Pelodiscus sinensis: one gene and its partner. The protein of the gene in region 1 purifies or fractionates together with the protein of each later gene. This does not show direct contact. Links are inferred from orthologs where the notes say so. Each region holds a gene or a part of one and is shown on either strand. Other genes may lie near its edges.

Region 1 (11,957 bases):
AGCAGCAGTTCGGCGGTGCTCAGTGCTTCTCAACATAAAAGAGGTAAACAGGCCGAGGTCTTTGAAAGGCCGCGCAAACCCTGCCAGAAACGCAGCTCGGTGCAGCTCCGCAGGGAGCTGAACTGCTTAGTTACATGAGCAACATCTGTGGGGCCCAGTGACACCCCTCATGTGGGCAGGGATACCGCTCCCGCTCCGAAAGCAAATGGCAAGCGGCTCCGCAGGGCAATCGGCCGACGCTCTAGCCCAGCTGCCGAAATGCCTGTTCTACTGTAAGGGAATCAAGGTAACTGGCTGCGACTGCCTACGTGGAGAGAGAAGGAAACGAACACGGCATTCAGCTACCGCTTCCAGGGAGCAGCTCTGTGCTGCCACAGAACTCGGCTCCTGGAGAGCCCGATCCAGCTGAGAACAAGCTTCTGCGGAGCTGCTTCCCACAAGGGCAGGGCAGGCTGCGAGTCTCTTCTGGAGGGGCTCCTCGGCCGCCAGCTCACGCTGCAGGCGCCGCAGGGCCGGCCCCATTAATTCTGATAGCGTCCACGGTTGATGACGATGTCGTCGTATTCTTCCTGAGAAACAGGAGAGCTTTGCTGATGACCTCCGAGATACGGCAAGGGCCTGTTTAGGGATCATTACGGAGCAGGTGGGGAGGGCCAGGATCAAACGGCTTCATCGGTTAAAGCCAGAAGAGACAACAGCGATCAACCGACCTCCTGTGTGACACAGGCCACACAACTGGCCTGCGTTCGCTCCTGTGGGAGCTACAGCAGATATTGGGGGGGGCTCCGATTTGGATTTGGACATTGCCAGCGATGGAGAATACACCACAGCCCTGGGAAAGTTAAGGACTAATTACTCTGTTCAGATTAACCCCTTAGAGCTAGACACATCTGCCTGTACGTAGCTTCAACTTCCAGCAACTGGATCACGGAAAACCTTTGAGAGCCAGCTACTGTCAAATTTCTCTCTGCCAGCTCGCCGGGCTTGATTTGCGCCAGGCCTCAGTCCCAGCTCCCTAGGCTCAGCAGTACCTCTGAGTCTCCTGCGTCAACTCCAGACGCAAATCACCGCAGAGCCCCGGCACCCCCCCCCCGCAGCATAGGTACGTACAGACCGACCCAGGCAGAGCGCACCCTGCTCTGCATTAATCTACGTAGACCAGAGACTCAGGGAACTCGACCCATTTGAAAAGAGAATCTCTTGCTGGGGAAAAGATCCCTTTGGCTTCTCTGCTGTCAAACCCAATGGCAGCTTCTCCACCCATTGTGTGTCAGAGGGGAGGGGCCTGCCAGGAGCGGAGGGGGGCTGGTGGCACAGAGGACTAGGAACCAGGCTGAGACCTGCCAATTCCTACACATGGGGGACGTTGCAATGGCTTTTCAGCACTGCCCTCTAGGCCTCCTACAGGGGGAGGGGTGGCTCTAGAGCAGAGATGAGGCCACTTGCAAGCTTGGCCTGGCTTTGCCGAGGGGGTGCCTGCACTCCTCCCTCCTGCACCGCTAGGCCAGCGCACACGCCCAACCCCACTCACGTCGCTGCTGTCATCTGAACTGTCCTCTGAATCCCAGTCCGGCTCCTCCGAGCCAAACTCCCGGAGCAGCTGCAAGATCTTTTGGTTGGGCCTGTGCATGGCGCTGTAGATGGGGGTGTAACCAACATACATCCGGGCCCCCGGATCTGCTCCAGCATGCAGCAGGTACTCCACCACCTCCGGGCTCTGAGACTCCACTGCCAAGTGGAGGGGACTCCGGCCACAGCTCAGCTCCTGCCAGTGGTGGACAGACCAGTCAGCAAGAAAGAGACTTCTGAGAAGGGTAAATACCTTCTGATCCCTGGCCACCCCTCTCCATAGACGATCCGCCCTTGCACTAACCGCCTTGTTGAGACTGGCTCCGGCGCTCACCAGGAGCTTGACTGCTTCAAGATCCTTCCGCAGGACAGCCACATGCAGCGGCGTGTAACCTATGGGAACCGAGAGCAGACAATCCTGATCAACCCAAGAAGTAACTCTCTGACCAGGCCCCTCTCAGCTGGCTGTTGTCAAGGCAGTGTCAGAGGATTGGTATAGAATACACCGCACACTACGTATCTCTCCAGCATGCTGCCTTTTGGTTTTTTCACCCCCAAAGTAGTAGGCCACGCCCTAAGTTAAGCCACTTCCACATGCAAAGAAATGGGCATTGAAACTACTTCGGCAGTGGCCAAGTTCTGGGGTTCTCTGGGGCTGTTCTATTCATATTCAGCCCTTCACAGCCTTGAGGGAAATGGAGGGTAACTGGGCCACAGAGAGCTCTGGCCATGCTGGCTGGGGAAGGACACAGCATGCTCAGGACAAAGGTCCCACGTGTAACACTCCCAGGTGGGTGACGAGAGGCTCCATACCATCATAATTGGTGCAGTCCAACTGAGCCCTGGCGTCACTCCCTTCACAGGATCTGCGCATGCTCAACGATGCCAAGAGCCACTGTGCACAGTCCCGCCAGCCCTCCCGGCATGCCAGGTGCAGCGCCGTGTGGCCGCCTTTCTCCTGCACGCAGAGCCCTGCCCCGGCTGCCATCAGCTTGCGGACAAAGTTGGAGGCACCGAGGATGACTGCAATGTGCAATGCCGTCTGGGGAAGGTCAGCGAGATAGACAGGTCAGAAAGCTCTGTGGCTGATCTTCCCTAAAAAGTGCCCGGCCTACTAACACCACTACAGATCGCTTCTTTCCATGGGCTGTCACCCTAATAGCGTCACACCCCATATTCCAGACGCAGCGCTGAAAAGCAGCCACCTCTGGGCAGGCAGGCAGTGGCCAATTGCACAAGCAGGTCAGAAATTTTAGTCAAGGACACGACTATTCACACAAAAGCTGTCTCTACTACCCAGGCACAGGAGCCGACACGGTCTTGTCCTTCCTCTGCACCGTGAGCTACATGGAAGGCAGCTGATTTGCCTGGCATGAGCGCGACCACCTTACACCCTTTAAACAAAGCCCTCCCTGGCCCCGTTTACTTTGGTCCACTGCCACTGTCAATTCCCCAGCCTTCCTTACATTCCCCGGCCATATATTGGAGCAGACCAAAGCTCCAGTTAGTCCAACACCCTGTCTTCCGACAGTGGCCAGCGCCAGAGAGAAGGAACAGGTAGCCATCAGGGGATCCAGGGGAAGATGTGTTTGGATATTAGTGTCTCATTTATCAGTTGCTTGCAGGAGCATCTCCAGCATGCTAGATGCTATACAGACACAAAGCGAGGGATAGCTCCCTGCTCCAGAAAGACTGCTGTGCTCCGTAACACTCTTCCCTGCTCCCCCAACTCATTTATGATGCAGAGGAATTAATATGTGGTTGTGTTTCATCTTCCTGCCAGCAACCCAATCACTCCCTACAGGAGGTGGCATGGGCGATATCGTGTAGGAAGCTGACTAGGAGCCACTACTCCCGAGTTTTGTCCCCAACTGGCTGTACAATGTTCAGGCAAACCAATGTGGCTCTTTGTGCCTCAGTTTCCCCACTGCAATTGCCAGAGACTACAGACAGAAAAAGCTCCAGTCTTGGCCCAACCTGGCTCAGGTCATTCTGCAGATCCAAGTACTCCGTCCCGGCCGTGTACTGCAGGATAGAATCCAGAAAGGCTTCGTGTTCATGAATCACAGCCAAGTGGAGGGCTCTGGGGATGGAAGAACAGACACCACTCCAAGCAAAATAAATAAGTACCCTGCAACTGGCTGGAAATGCCACCCATGAAAGGGAAGCAATAGCAAGAAGAGGAATCGATCTAGTCAGCAAAGAGCAAGTAGCAAGGAGCTGGGGGTGCAGCAGGGAAACCAGGTGGGTGTAAAACTCCTGGGAGTGTGGGCAATAGAATAGCTGCCAACAGTGACTGAATTCCTACAGTTAATGCCTAAAGCATCCCAGAAACTGGACACCAGGGACTGCAGGCCGCGGCCGATGGAGACAGCACTGAGATATCAAGGCAGCCGGGCGGGGGGGGAAGGGGGGGGTGTTAGGACAGGGGCACAAGCCAAGCGCCCGGAGTCCAGGATGGGGGGGGGGGGGGGTTGGACGGGGCACAAGCCAAGTGCCTGGAATCCAGGATGGGGGGGGGGGGGTTGGACGGGGCACAGGCCTGGGGGGGGTTAGGACGGGGGCACAGGCCCGGGGGGGGGGAGAGGTGGGGCTCGGACGGGGGCCCAGGCCCGGGGGGGCGGGGGGCTCGGACGGGGGCCCGGGGGGCTCGGGGGGCTCGGACGGGGGCCCAGGCCCGGGGGGGCGGGGGGCTCGGGGGGCTCGATGGGGGCCCAGGCCCGGGAGGGCGGGGGGCTCGGACGGGGGCCCAGGCCCGGGGGAGCGGGGGGCTCGGACGGGGGCCCAGGCCCGGGGGAGCGGGGGGCTCGGACGGGGGCCCAGGCCCGGGGGGGGGGAGAGGTGGGGCTCGGACGGGGGCCCAGGCCCGGGGGGGGCGGGGGGCTCGGACGGGGGCCCGGGGGGCTCGGGGGGCTCGGACGGGGGCCCAGGCCCGGGGGGGCGGGGGGCTCGGGGGGCTCGATGGGGGCCCAGGCCCGGGAGGGCGGGGGGCTCGGACGGGGGCCCAGGCCCGGGGGAGCGGGGGGCTCGGACGGGGGCCCAGGCCCGGGGGAGCGGGGGGCTCGGACGGGGGCCCAGGCCCGGGGGGGCGGGGGGCTCGGACGGGGGCCCAGGCCCGGGGGGGGGGCACAGGCCCGGGGGGGGGCTAGGAGGGGGGGCCCAGGCCCGGGGGGGCGGGGCTAGGAGGGGGCCCAGGCCCGGGGGGGCGGGGCTCGGAGGGGGCACAGGCCCGGGGGGGGCTGGTCCCCCACTTACGTGTCCCCGTCCTCGGTGACGAAGCGCAGCACGTGGCGCAGCCAGGCCTCGGGGGGGCCCTGGCCGGGCGGGGGGTCCGCGACGCGCACGGAGCCCAGGCCCCGCGTCACCGCCCCCAGCGCCCCGCCCCCCTCCTCCTCCGCCGCCCCCAGCGCCGAGTCCGGCCGCTCCGGGCCGCCCGCGGGGTCGGGGGTCGGGGGGCAGGGGTCAGAGGTCACGGCCAGGCCCTCCTGGATTAGGCTGAGCTGCCCCTCCCCCAGCGAGCCCAGGCCGCTGTCGCACCAGTCCCCGTCCTCGCCCGCCTCGGCCCGCGTGGCCCCGCCCGCCGGCTCCGCCATGGCCCCCCCAGCGCCCGCCGCGGGGCACGCCGGGAAGCGGGGCGGGGCGCGGGGCAGGCCGGGAGGCGCGGGGCACGCTGGGAGGAGGGGCGGGGCGGGGCAGGGGCGCGGGGCAGGCCGGGAGGCGCGGGGCACGCTGGGAGGAGGGGCGGGGCAGCGGCGCGGGGCACGCTGGGAGGGGGGAGGCGCGGGGCACGCCGGGAGGAGTGGAGGCGCGGGGCAGGCTGGGAGCGGAGGCAGGGGCGCGGGGCAGGCCGGGAGGGGGGGCGGGGCGGGGGCAGGGGCGCGGGGCACGCCGGGAGGAGGGGCGGGGCGGGGCAGGGGCGCGGGGCACGCCGGGAGGAGCGGAGGCGCGGGGCAGGCTGGGAGCGGAGGCAGGGGCGCGGGGCAGGCCGGGAGGGGGGGCGGGGCGGGGGCAGGGGCGCGGGGCACGCCGGGAGGAGGGGCGGGGCGGGGGCGGGGGCGCGGGGCACGCCGGGAGGAGGGGCGGGGCGGGGGCGCGGGGCACGCCGGGAGATGTAGTTCTGCCGAGCGGGCGGCCCGTTTCCCTGCCGCAGTCGGGTCCGGCGGAGCCGAGCGGGGCGGGCGCCGGGGTCCATGGCCGAGCGGGACGGTGACTAGCGGGATAGCCCCGCCCCCGGGACAGCCCCCCATCCCCCAACGCCCCCCCCGCGGGCTCAGCCCCCCCATCCCCCAACGCCCCCCCCCCCGCGGGCTCAGCCCCCCATCCCCCAACGCCCCCCCCGCGGGCTCAGCCCCCCCCATCCCCGAACGCCCCCCATCCCCCAACGCCCCCCCCGCGGGCTCAGCCCCCCCCATCCCCCAACGCCCCCCATCCCCCAACGCCCCCCCCGTGGGCTCAGCCCCCCATCCCCCAACGCCCCCCCCCGCGGGCTCAGCCCCCCCCATTCCCCAACGCCCCCCCCCCGCGGGCTCAGCCCCCCCATCCCCCAACGCCCCCCCCCCGCGGGCTCAGCCCCCCCATCCCCCAACGCCCCCCATCCCCCAACGCCCCCCCCGTGGGCTCAGCCCCCCCCATCCCCCAATGCCCCCCCCCATAGCAGCGCGCCTCCCTCCCCCTTTTCGCCAGCAACTCGGGTCTCTTCTCTCCCTGCTGTCCCAGCTGCGGGGCCCGGCGGGCGCGAGGCGGAGCGGGGCGCGGACTCTCCCGTGAGTAGGGGGCGCAGCTCGGGTTCCCTTTGCAGTGCGGGGGCTCTCTGCTAACCCCTTCCCTTCTTCTCGAGCGGCCACCCACCACAGCCTGCCTGCAAAAGAACCAGGAGTCCTGGCCCCCAGCCCGCTGCTCTAACCTGCTCCACCCCATTCGCCTCCAGGGCCAGGGACAGACCCCGAGAGCCCCCACCCCACTTCCCTCCCAGTGCTGGGGCTAAAACCCAGGAGGCCTGGCTCCTCTACCATCTCCCTGCTGTATCTGGAGACCAGGCCCCTTTCCTGCAGCACAACCCAGGAGTCCTGGTTTGCCTTTGTCCCAGTCCTCAGAGGATCCTGCCACAGACACAGATGCTTCTAACACTAGCCAGTAAAACACAGAAGACGGCTTAACGGGCTGCGTTACCGGTGAACTTAACCTGCTACATTGACGCTGGCTAACTTAACCCGCTGCATTAACGTTGGCTCACGTAACCGGTGAACTTAACCAGCTACATTAACGCTGGCTTATTTAACCGACTGCGTTATCTCTGGCTTACTTAACCTATGAACTTAACCAGCTACATTAACACTGGCTTATTTAACCGACTGCGTTAACGCTGGCTTACTTAACCTGTGAACTTAACTTGCTACATTAACGCTGGCTTATTTAACCGACTGCATAAACGCTGGCTTACGTAACCGGTGAACTTAACCGGCTGCGTTAATGCTGACTTACGTAACCTGTGAACTTAACCGGCTGCGTTAACGCTGGCTTACTTAACCGGCTGCGTTAACGCTGGCTTACTTAACCGGCTGCGTTAACGCTGGCTTACTTAACCTGCTGCGTTAACGCTGGCTTACTTAACCGGCTGCATTAACGCTGGCTTACTTAACCTATGAACTTAACCGGCTGCGTTAACGCTGGCTTACTTAACCTATGAACTTAACCGGCTGCGTTAATGCTGGCTTACTTAACCGGCTACATTAACGTTGGCTTACGTAACCGGTGAACTTAACCAGCTACATTAACGCTGGCTTATTTAACCGACTGCGTTATCTCTGGCTTACTTAACCTATGAACTTAACCAGCTACATTAACACTGGCTTATTTAACCGACTGCGTTAACGCTGGCTTACTTAACCTGTGAACTTAACTTGCTACATTAACGCTGGCTTACTTAACCTATGAACTTAACCGGCTGCGTTAACGCTGGCTTACTTAACTGGCTGCATTAACGCTGGCTTACTTAACCTATGAACTTAACCGGCTGCGTTAACGCTGGCTTACGTAACCGGTGAACTTAACCGGCTGCGTTAATGCTGACTTACGTAACCTGTGAACTTAACCGGCTGCGTTAACGCTGGCTTACTTAACCTATGAACTTAACTGGCTGCGTTAACGCTGGCTTACTTAACTGGCTGCATTAACGCTGGCTTACTTACCCTATGAACTTAACCGGCTGCATTAACGCTGGCTTACTTACCCTATGAACTTAACCGGCTGCGTTAACGCTGGCTTACTTAACCTATGAACTTAACCAGCTGCGTTAATGCTGGCTTACTTAACCTATGAACTTAACCGGCTGCGTTAACACTGGCTTACTTAACCTATGAACTTAACCGGCTGCGTTAACACTGGCTTACTTAACTGGCTACATTAACGCTGGCTTACTTAACCTATGAACTTAACCAGCTGCGTTAATGCTGGCTTACTTAACCTGTGAACTTAACCAGCTGCGTTAACGCTGGCTTACTTAACCTATGAACTTAACCGGCTGCGTTAACACTGGCTTACTTAACTGGCTGCATTAACGCTGGCTTACTTAACCTATGAACTTAACTGTCTGATCTTTGTGTGTTTTTTCTGTTATTCAGGACTCTGATTCTGACTCGGAAAACGGTGGTGCTTCTGGAGAGTCTGAAAGTAGGTAACTTGTGCTGTATTGTAGGGGAAGGGATGGGGAGCATGGGGCGGCCGAGTAGCATGATACACAGGGGAGAGCCTGGGAGAGCCTGCTGGGTCTGTCAATCTATCCCTGTTCCTTCCTCTCAGGGGGGCCTAATGCCTCAGGTGATTAACGTGAATAGGGGTAAATCATCTGTCGTTAAACCAGCTCTTTCTGTCCGGGCTTCGAGGCAAAAATTGGTCTGTGGCTGGAATTGGGATTGAATAATCTTTCTCAATTATCTTCAGGCCCCTGTCGCTGTAGTTTCTGAAAGCCTCTGTTTCTGACATATTTGTTCCCATAACTCCCTGGGAGGCAGGGCAGTGCCACAGAAGGGGAAACTGAGGCCAGTCCGGTGACACCACCTTTGCAAAAGACGTTATTTAAACAGACAGGCACGCTTTTCTGCTGTCTGCACTGCGGGTTCTGCTAAGCACGGCTGTGTCAACTAGCGGGTGTGAACACCCCCAGCCAACTGAAGCGTGTAACATACGCCAGGCCCCAGCGACTCCTCGCACGAGTAGTCAGTTGCAGAGCTGTGCCTTGAACCTAAACAATGGGCCCTTCCGTCCGTGCCGGGTTCTCCTGTCGTTCCCAGTGCACTCACACACCCTCTTTTCCCTTTTAAGTCTTCAAGGCACTTTCTAAATATTAACTAACCTTCAAAACGACCTCCTTCTGTGACATTGGGAAATGGAGTCCTGAGGGGGAAACTGAGGCTCGAGGACGAGAACTGCCGTGCCCAAGGCTGCTCAGCAAATCCGTGGAGCTAGGATTAGAAACCAGGCCTCCTGGCTCTCAGTCCCCTTGCTCTAACTATTAGACCCTACTCCCTTCCCAGAGCTGGGACCAGAGCCCAGGAATACACAGCTAACTTTGCTTGTCCTCTCCCTTTCAGTGGATTTCCTGCGAAATCTCCTGTCCCGGACGCTGGGCCTGGGCAGTGAGAAACCGGAGAAGGTGCTGGATGAGCTGACACTAGATGGTGTGAGCCGCTTCATGCTGAGTGAGAAGTGTAAGCTGGGTCCCCTCTTGGGAGGCAGCTGCTCTGAGACTGAACCAGAGCGACTCTCATCCTGATTTCCCCCCTCACAGTGGGAAGGGAAAGGGGTTGAGGGAGAGGCTGTGGGCTAGCGGGGCTGTCTAGGGGCAGGCCTGGAGCAGACCAAGGGATGTGGCAGGGACTCCATGTTGGTGTAACTTACAAGCAGGGGCACAGGTGTCACTTACACATTCGTACACCCCACCCCTTCTGAGCTGCTGGGAGGGATCCAGTCTCCATGGGCTCCCTCTTGGTGCTGGGGGCAGGTTTGACAGGGGCTTGGGGGTGGCTTTAAACCTCCCTTGTGCTACTTGTATTATGGGCCCTGGTATAAGTTAGAGCGGGGCTACTCAATACGTGGCCTACGGGCGGCGGGCGGCCCATAGCCCATTTGTTTGCAGCCCGCCCCCGAGTGGGATCCTTTGAACATGGCCTCCACTGGGAACACGCTCCACAACGGCGAGTCCATAGAACGCTCGTCTGCTGAGCTGCGTTTTAGTAGTTCAATTCCTGGACTGTCGTTGCTTAGTACAAGTGCTGTCATATGGGTGGAGATCGGGTAAACGTTGCCTTTTATTAATAGCAGCAGAGCTGACTTAGATGGGGGGGGGGTGTTGTGTAGTCTTGCCTTAAGCTTTGTATTCATGCCCCTCAGTGCGAAAGAAGCTATTTGCATGTATATTTGCACGTCTATGCAGCCACTCTTAAGCTGCAGCCCTCCGCATGTGCTGAGTATCATTTTGGCTCCTGGGGCTTCCAAAGTTGAGTGGCCCAGAGTCCGAGCAACCTCAAGGCTGTTCTGGGGAGTATCTGCTTCCCAAGGTGCTTGTGAAGCAGAGAATTGCCATACGTCTGGTCCCCGAGTTACGACCAAAGCTGTCGTAAATGGCGGACCCCGCGCTTACAAACGGGACCCAAGTTACGACCAAAGCTGTTGTAAATGGTGGACCCCGCGCTTACGAACGGGACCCCGCGCTTACGAACGGGACCCAAGTTACGACCAAAGCTGTTGTAAATGGTGGACCCCGCGCTTACGAACGGGACCCCGCGCTTACGAACAGGACCCAAGTTACGACCAAAGCTGTTGTAAATGGTGGACCCCGCGCTTACGAACGGGACCCCGCGCTTACGAACAGGACCCAAGTTACGACCAAAGCTGTTGTAAATGGTGGACCCCGCGCTTACGAACGGGACCCCGCGCTTACGAACGGGACCCCGCGCTTATGAACGGGACCCAAGTTACGACCAAAGCTGTTGTAAATGGCGGACCCCGCGCTTACGAACAGGACCCCGCACTTACGAACGGGATCCATGTTAGGAACAGCGTGGTCGTGTGTAACTCTGTGGGGTCCGAATTACAAACAAACCAAGTTACGACTGATTGTTTGGTCCATCACCGGTTCGTAAGTTGGGGAGAGGCTGTACTGCAGCGCCTGCTGCGGGCTGGGAGTGGGGCCTCGATGCCAGCTTGAGAGGCCCCCTGCTCCGCTCAGGGATATGCTGAGTCCAGAGGGGCCTGCGTGACACTGCAGGTCAGGTTCTAGCCCAGCAGGGGTCAGGAGTGCAGGGACACGTGGCTTTGCTCTTAGAGGGATAAGCTCTGGGCCGTGGGCTGCGGTGATGTCTGCCAAGAACCTGCACCGAGAGCGTGGGGCTGGTTCCCACGTGGCTTTCAGCACTCTGATCCGATGCCTCCCTCTCTGATCTTGCAGGCAGGAACATCGTCTGCATGGTGGGCGCTGGGATTTCAACCTGTGAGTACAGCTGCAGGCGTGGCGGAGCTAGGCCGTCCACGCTACAGAGAGACCAGCCTAGAGCAGTTCCCGGAGGGGCTCTGATAGTGTGTCTATCGCCCCTTCCATCCCAGAGCTGTTTGCGAGCCACGGCTGACCTGCAGCCACCTCTGGGGTGGAAGGTGGCAGCTGTTTGTACAGGCACCACTCACTCCTACACTCGTGAGTCTGGCAGATGCTTGTGTGTGCTGGGGCGGGGGAGAGTCCTTCGTCCAGTCCTGAGACACAGCCGGCTTCAGTATATGCAGGGATCGAGGCTATACTGAGGGGCCTCTGCGTCTGGGGTGGGGCGTGACGGCAGGGAAGAGGAGTCCTGTATTGCATTGGCTGCAGGAGGATGGTAGGGAGCCAGGGAGGAATAATGGTGGCTGTAATTTGACCAGAACACTTGGCCCTGGTGGGCGGAAGGGAGAGGACGGTGCCATGGGACCACGAACCCTAATTTCAGTGCCGCTGGTATCCCAGTGCCGAGCAGTCACTGGGGTTCTACTGCAGGCCCGGGGGTGCGCCTGTTCCTGGTGCGAAGACCCCGCACCCAGGCACATGGGGAAGAGCTTTCTGAAGTGTCTGCGGCCGGTGGGCACCCACCCAGTGCTGATCAGGCGCCTAGCAGACCTGTCCGAACCTGAAGAAGTGGGTGGTGCCCCCGAAAGCTCCTGCTGCCATCAGCATGTTTCCCTAGCCTGAAAGGTGCTGCAGGACTAGTCCTTGTTTCAGCTTTTCCGGGTACAGCCACCCCTCTGAAGCTGTCCTAACCTGGACTGGGCTCACTGTAAATCCTGGGACGGATTCTGTGGGGAGCTGGGGGACTTTGGGCTGATCCAAAGTCCTGGTCAGGAATCTGGAAGGGGATGTCCTTAGC
Region 2 (12,481 bases), on another chromosome or scaffold:
CACCCACCCCCCCTAGAATAATCCTCTCCCCTATATCTCAGATATTGAAGCCTTCAAATACTTTGAAGGCCCCAGATGCAGAAAATCCTCCAGCTGTGATCTGTGCCCCATGCTACAGAGGAAGGCGAAAAACCTCCAGGGCCTCTGCCAATCTACCCTGGAGGAAAATTCCTTTCCGACCCCAAATATGGCGATCAGCTAAACCCTGAGCATGTGGGCAAGACTCACCAACCAGACACCCAGAAAGTTCTCTATAGTAACTCCTATCATCCCTCCATTGACCTATTTCCCACTGATAATGAATGGTCAATTAGATACCAAGATCATGTTATCTCATCAAACCATCCCCTTCATAAACCCATCTAGTTTAATCTTGAAAGCAGATAGATGTATATTGCTTTCCCAAGCAGCAGCAGCTCAAAGACTCGTGAGCTTCGCAGTTGCTATTCAGAACTTTGTAGGTAGAAGTGAAATCATCTAAATCTTTTTGCTACTGCTGCAGTTCTCCCAAGCAGAGGAGGCAGATACTGGAATTGTCTTAAGGAGGAGATGAGTTGACCTCACCAAAAAGGAGATGGAAGGAAAAAGTAGAGCACCAAACACTTGATGGAAAAGAAGGTTCCAAGCTTACAGAACCTGGAGACCAAGACATCTCTACAATCAACTATCCAGAGAGCCTCAAACTTATTTTCTAAAGCACATGCTCTATGAATTATTTTGAGGAATTTCTCACCCCCATATAGCACAGGCCACAGACTAGATGATCACAATGGTCCCTTCTGGCACTGAACTCTATGAAACAGAACCTAGGGACAGAAATCCCAGTATCCTCAGCCATCTCAGCAGTGGTGTTGGTCAGTGAGCTTTTCACTACAGTATTAACCCTGGAATTCTCCCAACTCATATGCAAACAAGGGGAGAATGGTAGTAAGATTCAGGAGAAAAACACTTAACTAACCTTAATAGCAAGGCTCTATTTTCTCTGCAAATACTTTTTCCACTGACCTTTCTGGTCCTTCTAGCTCAGGACACAAACAGCGTTGCACGTTTGAGCAACTGGAACGTTGCTCAACAAGACAAGTAGAGTTAAGATTTGGGATTTAAATTCCATTAATACAATTGTAAAGTTAAACAATTATTCAGCATGCCATAGTCTGACCCTTGCCTAAAAAAAAAATGTAATTTTTCCACTATTTGTACCTTTCTGATTAAGATGATAACAGGGGAGGTTTCTTAAACAATCAAATCAATAGTAATATTATTGCAGGTTACCAGAGCCTATAGTACCAGCTAAGACAGGGGTGGGCAAAAGGGCCTCTGTGGGCGGGATACAGCCTGCCAAACAAGTTAATCTGGCCTGCGGAGGCCCTGCCACATCCCTCACTCCCAGGCCAATTAGGGCCTGTGGTCAGGGGGAAAGTCCGGGGAAGTCTCCTTCTGCCCTGCAAGGGGCTCCACACTTAAAGTTAACCACCAGCTGCTGCTCAGCTGGTTGCTGACTCTTAAGTGCAGAGCTCCCTTGCAGGGCAGGGCACGAGAGACTTCATATGCTCCCCCTCCACAGGCCCTGATTGACCTGGGGGCACCACATGAAATCTCCTCCCACTGCCAGGGGCATGGGTGCCTAGAGGGACTGGCCATCTGTTCAGAACAGCTAGGAGTTCTCTCTGAGGGGTCAAAGACTTTGCGTGCTCCTCCATCCCCAGATCAATCAGGATTTGTAGGTGAGGAAGCACAGGAGTCTCCCGGCCCCGCCACTTCAAACATTTCTGAAGTGGCCCCCAGTCAAAAATTATTGCCCACCCCTGAGCTAAGAGGACTGGCAAATCACGGAAACATGCATCTTGGAAAAGGAATACAATTTGAGACAAGTTTCTAATTTAGTTTACTCAAATCACACACTTGAATAGTCTCAAATGCATACAGAGTCATGCGCTATGCACACTCATTGTGTGTGTACAAAATTCCGGATACATGCATTCCATTATAAATGAGGAAACAATTTATTTTGATATAGGCAATAAATATCAGGTATTGAGCTTTACAGACGTCACTTCTAAACCAAAGACGGGTAAAAGGAATTTGACCTCACCAGGCAAGCCTGAAGTTTCAAAAAACCACAAAGCTAATCTGAAAGATTCCCAATGGATGAATACTTGTTTCAGGATCAACTTAAAATACATACATGAAAAAAGTAATGTTTTTATTTTAATGCCTCTTGCAGGCTAAGATCAAGTGTAATATCTGGTTTTTTAAGAATGACAGAAGTCAACTTAAAAGAATGGCTGTTTGCAAAAGCCGAGAGCTAACAAATAGGTTTTAATCACAATTTGGCTCTGGGCATAGCAATAAAAGTAGCAATGTGAGAATTAAAAAAAAAAAATCAACATTATTATACCAGTTATCCTTTTGGACATACCTGATCACTACTAAAAGTACTGATCCAAACAAAGATTACAAACAGGACCTATAGTTCTGTAAAAATCAAGAATGCTGTTTTCTCTCTTTCATCCCTCAATCTTTGTTTTATTTTATTAAAATAAGCCAGGGAGAAAAGTTTTCCAGGAAGCTGGTGTTCAGTGAATTAACTCTTTAAGCAAAGAGCTAAATAGGTCACTAGTCCTAAAGCTATATCCTGGTTAAACAAAAATCTTAGTTTAGTGACAGCTAAGGCTGCCTTTCGACATACTCCACCCATCTGAACACCTTAAGAGCATGGAAATAAAGTAAGGGAACCCCACCTCCTGTATTGTGTCACCTTTACCCTGCCAAAAACACTATCAACATAATGCTCCACCAGATGAGGAGGAGCAATATCTACACAATGAAACTGGCAGCCTTATTACTGTATTAGGTTTGTGGGAGTTTCCTAGGAGGTTGTGAGGGAAAGGCGGAGGAGGGAGGGAGGGAGGGAGAGCTAAGACAGGGTTGGTGGTTGCAGTAGCCCAGGGACAGCCTGAACCTGGCACCTCTCCCCTGGCCCCAGACTCCTCCTCAGACTTCTGCATCCCACCTTCTGCCCCAGCCCCGAGCCCTGCCACTCTCGGCCCCCGCACACGGCTGCTGTACGCACACTAATGGGGGGGGGGGCGTGCTGCGCCCCTCCAGCAAGAGTCATTCTGCGCGGGGGCGGCACCACGCAGAGGGGGGGCGGCTGCCAGGCACAGGGCAGGTCCTAGCCGGGGTGATTGTCACCCCCCCGCACTCATTGCTCGGGGTCCCCAGCCAAGGGGGGTCTCGCTGCAGCGCCCCTCCCCCGCCGCGGTGCGGTCTCCGGGCGCCAGGTCACCAAGAGTCCGCATGCGATGGGGGGGCTGCGGGCAGGGCGGTCCCCGCGGAGGGGGGGCAGGTGCCAGCGCGAGCCCCCCCCAGCTGTCACTCACCCGCCGGCCGAGGCCCCGCCCCGCCTGTCTAGCGCTCGAGACTCGCCTCTCGCCGCCTCCCAGGCCCCGGCGCATGCGCACGGCCCCCCCGCCCCGAGAACAAACCGCCGCCCTCCCCGCCGCGCGCCGCCCGGGCCCGCCTCACCCGCGCCGCGCCCCCGCCTCCCGCGGCTCCGGGCGGGCCGGCCCGTCCTCGTCGGCCCCGGCCGCTCCCTCGCCAGCGCGCTGCGCTCTCCTCCCCCCGCCGCTCCGGACACTGCGACGGCCTCGCCGGCAGCAGGAAATGACGCCATCACTCCGCGGCCAATCAGCGGAGAAGGCGGGGGGGGCTTCCCGGGATGCGAAACTCCTAGCCAATCATAGGGCTCCGTTCGTTGCCCTTCCCGCTTTGAGGTGTCGGCTTAGCCAATCGGCCACCCGTTTGCTGAGCACGTCTATCAACAAGCCCTTTGCTGATTGGACAGGCCCTCCAAGAACCAATCAGAATGTGTTTTCAATCCAGGCCCAGGCTCTCGAGCGCCCTCTGCCGCCCAAGCAGCTCCCAAGAGCCCCAGCGCCCCCTCCCGCGCGTTCATTGGCCTGGCAGGCCTGGGGCAGCCGCAGAGCGCCCGCAAGGGACCCGCTGCCTGGAGCCTTGGGGCGGGGCGGGGGGCGGGGCCCCCTGCTTTCCAGGACAGGGGCGCGCACAGCCTGCAAATGCATTGGAGCAAAGGCTGCATGGAGCCCAGTCACCCCTGGGAGAACAAGCCAGAGGGCTAGAACCCCCCCGGCCAACCACTAAGGCACAGACACGCTGTCTGCAATGCGTGGCTACTCTAGATCGCTCCTTTCAAAAACGACATGCCATGCTGCATGCCAATTTGTAATAGTTCTTTGTCTCCCCTCTCTTTGGGTCTTCAGCAGGGTTTGAATCCCAGACCTTTTATTAATAAAATCCCAGGCTTTTATTATTTGAACTGAAAAAAAGGAATAATTCCATTGGCTGGTGGCAGCAGGCTCCATCCTCTTGCACGAACTAGCCAGTGGAGAGGAAAATAGGTTCACATTCTAGTAAGCGCATGAGTTTCTTCTTTCTATTTATCCTTGCAATGTGCAGTACCAAGGTCTTCCAATGGATGCCAGTAATATCCCAAATGGCATCGTGCAATATAGGCCAAGGAGGAACAGTGGTAGCTCCTAAAGGATTTTGCAGTCTCCAATTCAAGTACCTGTATAGTGCAGCTTATTTTAAACAGAAATAATACAGTGTCTTATTTTCTCTGTACTATCAATTTTCCTTCAGCCATGGGGTACAAAGTGACAGATTGAACACAGGCTATGAGAATAAGAAAAAAATAATTGCTATCAGCACCAGCCGCTCTGCCATATGTATTGGACAAACCAGACTGTCTCTACACAAAAGAAAAAAAAAAAGCAATGGTCCTGCAGCATCTTAGGCACTAACAAAAAATGTAGATGGTGTCTACAAAGTGGGCACAACCCACTTCTTCAGATGTTTCTATTACAGACCAACATGGCTACCCCTCTGAAATTTTTACACAAAAGAATACATGGACACAAATGAGACACCAAGAATGGTAACATACAAAAACCAGTAGGAAAGCACTTTTCCTTCTCTGGGCACACAGTTACAGACTTAAAAGCTGCCACTCTTAAGCAAAAAAAACTTCAAAATCAGACTGCAACATGAAACTGCTGAGCTGGGACTCACATGCAAACTTGACACCATCAGAATGGGTCTGAATAGGGACTGGGAATGGCTTAGCTCAGTACAAAAAGTAATTTTCCCCTTTAGGTATTCTCACCTTCTTATCACTGTTGGAAGGGGGCTACATTCACCCTATTGAATTAGCCTCGTTAACACTTGTCACACTCCCATCCCTGTATGTAGATATCTCCGCCATCTGATTCTTTCGCTTCATGCATCTGACAAAGTGAGCTGCAGCGCTAGTAAATTTGGTAGTCTGTATGCCCTGGAACTCCTTGCTGTTCCTATTCTACATGTTTTGTTAGTTTTTAAGGTGTCACTAGTCTATTTGTTGTTTTTTAAGTTGTACCTGTTCTGTCATTCTTGCCATGAGGTGGTAAGCGGGCAGTCCTAGGAAGGTCTTCAGAAGTAGAGATGTAAAAGTCCATTTAAAATGTTAACTGGCTAAACTATACATTTAAGGTTAAAAGCCAGGTTTCTTCAGCACAGCTGGGCACAGTTAACCCGGTAAGCGTGCTGGTCAGGCAGTGCTTACAGTAAGAATAAGAATGGCCATACTGGGTCAGACCAGCCCCGTCTGCCCACAGTGGCCAATGCCAGATGCCCCCAGAGGGAGGGAACAGAACAGGGAATCATCAAGTGATCCCTCCTCTGTCACCCATTCCTGTTTCTGACAGAGGTTAGGGACACTGTCCCTACCCATCCCGCCTAATAGTCATGACGGCCCTAGCCACCATACATTTATCTAGTTCTATTCTGGAACCTGTTAAAGTCCTGGTCTTCCAGCACATCCTCTGGCAAGGAGTTCCACAAGTTAACTGTGCTCTGCCTGAAGAAAAACTTCCTTTGGTTTGTTTTAAACCTGCTGCCTATTAATTTCATTTGGTGACCCCCAGTTACCGAGGGGGGGGGGCTGCTCAGCTCACCCCTTTACGTCGCTATTTACAAGCCTGCCCCCCCCCCCAGTGGATGCCAGACCCCGCCCGCTCTGCAGGGAGGTGCGTGCACACGCGGGCCCGGCCCAGGTTTCCCCGCGCAGCTGGCGGGGGCGGCGCCAGCTCCGCTCAGCGCCCGGCTCTAGGCGGCGGTCGCGGCTGCGTCTCCAGCCGGCCACGAGGAGCTGCGCCATGGCCGCTGCCGCCAGCTGGAGCTACCGGGGGCACCCCCTGGAGGCGCAGAGCGCCCCGCTCGGTAAGAGCCGCGCCCCGGCCCCCAGCCAGCCTCCCCGCGGGGCGGCTCCCCGTGCGCTCCGGGCTGCGCCTCGCCCCGTGCGCTCCGCCGGGTGCCGCTAGCGGGGGGATGTGAGCCGGGTACCGGGGGGGGGGATGTACCGGGCGCTGCCTGCCCGGGGCTCTCGCCCGCTGCTGCAGCCCAGGCCCCGGGATGTGCCGCGGGCCCCCCGCTGCAGGGCGGCGCGTCCCCAGCAGCGCGTCCCGGCTGTGCCTCGCCAGCAGCGCGCCACTTCGGCGGGCGAGTTTCATCCTTGCTAGCCCCCTCCCCGCCCTGAGCTTGCAGAGCGAGTCCTGGGGGTCTCTCCCCGGGCAGGCTGCAGAGCCGCCCTTGCGAGGGGGAAGCCTGCCCCGTGGAGGTGGCCTGGCCCAGCCGGTAGCGGGGGCCTTGTGCGCACGGGATGGCTGGTACTGCACTGGCCTGGCAAGGGCCGCTGGGCTCCGGTTGCGCAGGCCTGACAACATTTTAACCTGCGGGGAGTCCAAGAAAAAAACCAGCATTTTAGCTGCTTAAAAATGACAAAATAGCCCCCAATGAAAGCCCGCCACAGAGGACTGCAGCTGGAGGTCAGTGTTCTGCGGGGCGGCCGCTGGCCTGCCTTTGCCACCTAGCACAGGGTGGGTTGTGCGTTTAGACCGTGCCGCTAGAAAGCAAAGGAGCATGTGAGTGAGTGATCCCTTTGCAGTCTGCAGCCCCGGGGTGCATGGAACAGTGTATGAATTGTCTCCCAGTGCTGAGGTCCTGTTCAGGGAACTGGCAACATATTTACATTCACCGATCCGGAGGCTAGAAGGGACCACTCTGATCATAGTCTCACCCCTTGTATAGTAGAGGCCAGAGACCTTCCCCAAACTAACTCCTAGAGCAGAGCTTTTGGGTAGAAATAATTCTAGCTGGATTTCAAAATGGTCAGGGATGGAGAAATTGTCTCCTTTTCAGGGTCTGTTTCTGACTGTGTTTGCACAGCTCTAAGCGAGCCCTTCTCTGGGCTGGGGCAAATAGTAGACTTTCAAATCATGGGTCAAAACATCCTTCTTTAGCATCAAGCCTTGCCATCTTAGGGGGCAACTCGCTGACGTCTCAGATGTAGGATGGTAGCAGCCCTCTGTTTGGTCTACAGTCTTGGTACAATAAGCTCTGTCGATGGTTGGACATTGACTGGAATAACCATTTCAGGGTCAATTATTCCACAGTAGATACTCCAGAATAACTTCCTGGGGCCATAAGAACAGTCGTTTTACTCCAGAATCATTAGCTGGTTTCCAATGGGGAGTAATTATTCCAGAATAAAATCATTTGTATTCTGAAATTAACTCTGAGCTCATTCAGGCTCCCCGAAATTCTCATTAAGAGCTAGAGCTGTAAAAGGGTAACAGGATACCTGGTAAGCACAACCCTTATGCTTACTGGTAGCTGGTTAAGTGGCACCCGGCCTGAGTAGCCCCCTGCCTGTGGTGATCCTTTTAACCAGTTAAATGTGTATTTCAACCGGTTAACCTTTTAAACAGCATTTTACATGCCTGTTACAAGTAGCTTCTCTCGGCACTGTTGCCAACATTTTTGTTTTGAACATATAATTATCTGCACTGCTTCAAATGCTTTTCCTTACAAATGTATTACAGTTCAGTTCTCTAACGGGAAACTGCAGAATTCTGAAAACATGGATTTTACTTTGTACAAAAACAATGACGCTACTAATCCCAGAAAGAAACATCAAAGAATCTTGGTAAGTTTGTCTGTCATTGTACCCGAGTTCTACAGTGATATATCAGGTTCCTGGTTATTGCTAGCTATTTGTTTTGGTGAACCAGGATATTTTTGCCAAGAAGTATTGAAATATATGTAAAGGGGCACTATTTGCTACCCTGCCTCTTAACAAGTCATCTGTTATTTTGAAATATTTTTCAAAATAACAGGCGTACTATTTCGGCATCCCTGTACCCTTGTTCCACGAGGTTTAAGGGATGTCTCGAAATAGCACGTTATTTCAAAATTTGGCACTGTCTATATGCACCAAATTTAAAAATAAACCATTTTGAAATAGAATCAAAATAAGATAACAGTTTGCATAGCGCAAATTGCGTATCTTATTTTGTGTACAGTGCTGTGTAGATGCACCCTAGACGCAAAAAAATTATGTATATTTTTATAAGCTGCTACTGTTTACAAGTATAACACCTAAGATTACAAGAAATTAAAGATGCTGTATGGGTGCAGAATGTATCGAGATACAGTGAATAACACATTTTAGAAGTTGTTAAACCTTTTGCTTCAGGTTTTAAGCTATCAAGAGAGCTCGAATGTGGTGGCAGTTTTGTCTCTCATCTGCTATTTTAGACTTCCTCTAAAGTATTTGGCACTGCCCACATTTGCAGACAGATATTGGACTAGATGAATTTTGGGTCTCATCCAAGTTTGTAAATTCCTGTGATCCTGGCGTGAAGGAAAATCTCTGTATTCGGGTTTTGCCTTTGATACCCCTTTCATAGACAGTTATTCACTGGTTCTTTTGTGTAAGGAGATAGGCATGGAGCCCCATTTTCTCCAGTGGGGCTGTTTAAGATTAGGCTGCTATGGAACCGATTGCAGGAACAGGGCTTTAGTTGGACTGTTGGTTTTGGGCCCCGTCAGTGGGTTTGGCTGGACAGGTGTTTAGTGGGCTCCGCCAGCAGTGGAGAGGAAAACATTAAAAATGTGATTGTTAAGCGTCATAAATTAGGAGAGGGATTTAAGTACGATGTAAGCGGGCATAGTAACTGAAACAGTTTTTAACCATCATAAAAAATAAGTAGATTCCAAATTGGTGAAAGTAGCCAATGACCCCTCCATGTGAATTACAATCAAAACACAACCCCCAACCTTTATCCTGCCCACTTTCTGGTATTTTCTGAGACTCTGTCCACGCCTCGACTTTTATTTCCACTCGCGTGGCGGAGAGGCTGTTCTTAGCAGTAGAAATCAGATTGGCTCCAGGAAAGGTGGGAGCACCAGCTTTTCCATTTACACGGCTGCTTACAAGAGTGGGGCAAGAGGGAGGGAGAAGAGCTTTCAGTGAGCCGGCTGTCTGCCAGGAGGACTAGTCTGCATGCTGACACTTGGAACACCTCCCTTCTCTGCAAAGCTTGTGGTCTGGAGTCTGCAATACCACCAGATGTCAGTGTAACCTTTAGGAACAGGGCTGAGTATCCGAGCGTTGAGGGGTATGAAAGGCAGGTTTGGTTTTGTCAGGGCACTCCAAAGAACCTAACATCAGATAGCTGACTGACAATGTATTTCAAGATTTTGAATGCCACTTACTGTAAGGGCTGATGGGTTCAGTAATGCAGTACACCGCAAGTGTGAATTGCCTCGGTTAAATGCAAAATACCATTGCAATGATCTAGTTAAGGTTAGCAAATTAAACACGGTCATGGATCCTGAAGGTAATACTGATTGTTGCATGTTGCACACACTGTCTCTATTAGGCCATGTGGTTAACAGCACCCCTAATACAAAATAGAGCTAGTCTTTGCTAGCGATGTAAGCAACTAGTCAAATACCTGATAAACATGGCTTATCGGGTAGTTGAGTCAACTAGTTCTCCCCCTCTCCCTCTCCCCGCTGCCTCTGATACAGAGGCAGTGGGAGGAGGAGCTGGTGCTTAAAAGCTGGTTTCCCCTAGCACCATCTCTGCAGGGATGGGTGGCAGTGGAGGCAGAGGTGCAGCAGGAAATGGCATGAGCGGGCTCTGAAGCCGTCCCCTGCTTGTGCTGCTCCAGTTGCTGGGCCTCTGCCTTTGAAATGTAGCAAGAGCCCCGGGCGGCTCTTCCTACATTGGAAAGGCAGAGAGCATCCCGCCCTGCCCCGCCCCTTGGAAAGGCAGAGAGCATCCCGCCCCTTATCGACTAATTGATGGAAATTCCACCCACTACTCAATTAGCTGATTAACTGACATTTAACATCCCTAGTCTTTGCAGACTGGGCAGGTTGAGATGACTGCCGACACCAGGTTGCGTTTTCTGATTTCTCATGTGAACATTTCTAACCTTAACGTTTGCCTTGTTTGGTTTTTGTTATGATTTGAGGTCCCTTGTTGGAAAGTTTTGCTTGTGCTGGCTTTAGTGGAAAGACAAACAAACTAAAAGGCAGAAAAGGAAAAATCTTCCCTGAGTTATTGTGGAGTTGTGCGATTAGCACTACTGAATAGCGTTCACATGTGCAACCACAAAGGAGGTAGAAATTTTGTACTGCAACGTACACGCGTTCTTTATTTCAATAGGCTGTAACCCTATCAACTGTTCAGAGTGGCTGAATCACACTCGGCGTTCAGGATCAGAGATGAGAAACTGATCGTGCAATGAAGTTTTGAAGTTCAGCCATTCTTGAGTGGAAGCGCACATAAACAAGTCCAGTTTTTCAAGTGGGGTGTGCGCGCATGTGATCGTGTATGCTTGTGTGCATTAGCATTAAATTAAAATCACTGAATTAATTTTACTTGTGCTACCTCCCACTTACTCCCAGGAGCAAACTGGGAGTTGAGACAAACCAGCAATTTTCAGTCCTGGCGGAAAATTTAATTTTTAGGAAGTTATGAACAACTTATATAATGGAAGCTGTATGTAACTTTAAAGCATCTGAGAGAACACCTTAGATTTAATAGCAAGGATGGTTAGTTTTACGCATTTTTAGCCTTAACTAGTTACAGCATTTTTATTACAAACCGTCACTTTCAGGTTTGATTATTGTGGACAAGATGTGGTAGGTGTGTTTTTCACTCCAAAGTTCACGACCGTGAACGTGCTCAGAAGTTAACCAGAAATACTTTTGGAACGGTGAAAGCAATGACTTCCACAAACATTTCTTACCTTTCCTTTGAGGATGGTGAATGGGGAGGTAGCATTATTCACCAGGCTGGGCTTTCAGTCATAAGGATGGGATAGAGAATAAGACAGAGAGTATCTTACTGCCTCTGTGGAAATCCAGGGCACGCCCGCATCTGGAATACTGCGTACAGATGTGGTCACCTCATCTCAAAAAAGATATAGTGGCACTGGAAAATGTTCAGAAGGGGAGCAACAAAAATGATGAGGGGCGTGGAACAGCGGCCACTTGAGGAGAGATGGATAAGACTGGGATTTCTCAGCTTGGCAAAAAGAAGATGGGGGATAGGACAGAGGTCTATAAAATCATGACTGGTGTGGAGAAAGCAAACAAGGAAAAGTTATTTACTCCTCCTCATAACACAAGAGCCGAATGAAATGAATAGGCAGCAGGTTTAAAACAAACGTTCGGAACTCCTCGCCAGAGGATGTCGTGAAGGCCAGGACTTTAGCAGGACATCAACGGCTGTGAGCCAGGCTTGGGAGGATGGTGTCCGTAGCCTCTGTCAGAAGCTGGGAAGGGGCCACAGGGGAGTTTCATGTGAGGATTCCCTGTTCTGTTCACTCCCTCTGGGCAGCTGGCATTGGCCTGAGATCCTAGGCTAGATGAGTGTTTGATCTGAGCCTTTATGGCTGTTCTTAGGCAAGAAATGTGTTTGCTTCTAAGACTTTCATTGGGAAACAGACTTTTTAAATAGAATCGATGAGAACGTGTCCCTAAGAACAGACAGGATGAAAATGTCTCGATCAGAGACCTGGTATCGGATACCCAGGGGAAAGGGCACAGTGGTTGGTCAGAAAGTTCAGTGCTGGTGAAGAACGTGCGGCACAAATTTCCCACCACTCACGCGGGTTTTCGTTGTTTTCCAGACTGCGGAGACAGACAGGCTGTCTTATGTGGGGAAAAACTTTGGCGCGGGAGTCCTGAAATGTAACTCGCTGTGCAGGTATGTGGTGTGCACGGGGCGGGGGAAGCTGTTACTCTCGGTGCTTGTTCCCCCTCTCTGCCTTTCCAGAGGTGCTGTCTGCAGGAGTGCGGGGCAGGCTTTCAGAATTGCACAGCTGGTGCTGTGGCTGGGAAGGGAAGGGAAGGGAAGGGGCCGGTTTTCAAGGGTTCCGCATCTCACGGCGCCCATTGTTGTCAATGAGCGGTGCCAAGAGCTTCTGAAAAATCTGCCCATGCAGGGAGCGTGTTGCTCAGGGTAAGAAGAGTTGGGTAAATAAAAAGGTAAATAAACTCGCCGAGGAGAAACTCTGATACTCACGCTTCAGAGTCGGCAGAATCTGTATATGCTGCATGC

What was found.
Region 2: the proteins of NFKBIB (region 1) and POLR1E purify together in Homo sapiens (affinity purification with mass spectrometry; 3 studies listed by BioGRID and IntAct, counting the BioPlex papers as one, with this or other methods). This does not show direct contact. The link is inferred for Pelodiscus sinensis from reciprocal best matches to the Homo sapiens genes NFKBIB and POLR1E.

The regions. Positions count from the first base shown.
Region 1 is NW_027465946.1:249,081-261,037, reverse strand, and holds NFKBIB (NF-kappa-B inhibitor beta), read right to left. Parts: upstream 5,249-11,957; 5' UTR 5,163-5,248; coding exon 4,825-5,162; intron 3,653-4,824; coding exon 3,547-3,652; intron 2,612-3,546; coding exon 2,383-2,611; intron 1,963-2,382; coding exon 1,874-1,962; intron 1,766-1,873; coding exon 1,532-1,765; intron 833-1,531; coding exon 677-832; 3' UTR 597-676; downstream 1-596. Other genes in the region: SIRT2 (NAD-dependent protein deacetylase sirtuin-2), read left to right, coding at 5,760-5,775, 6,286-6,332, 8,190-8,238, 9,159-9,275, 11,015-11,056. UniProt on the Homo sapiens protein: Inhibits NF-kappa-B by complexing with and trapping it in the cytoplasm.
Region 2 is NC_134716.1:785,992-798,472, reverse strand, and holds the start of POLR1E (DNA-directed RNA polymerase I subunit RPA49), read left to right. Parts: upstream 1-6,114; 5' UTR 6,115-6,218; coding exon 6,219-6,282; intron 6,283-7,943; coding exon 7,944-8,047; intron 8,048-12,050; coding exon 12,051-12,127; intron 12,128-12,481. UniProt on the Homo sapiens protein: Component of RNA polymerase I (Pol I), a DNA-dependent RNA polymerase which synthesizes ribosomal RNA precursors using the four ribonucleoside triphosphates as substrates.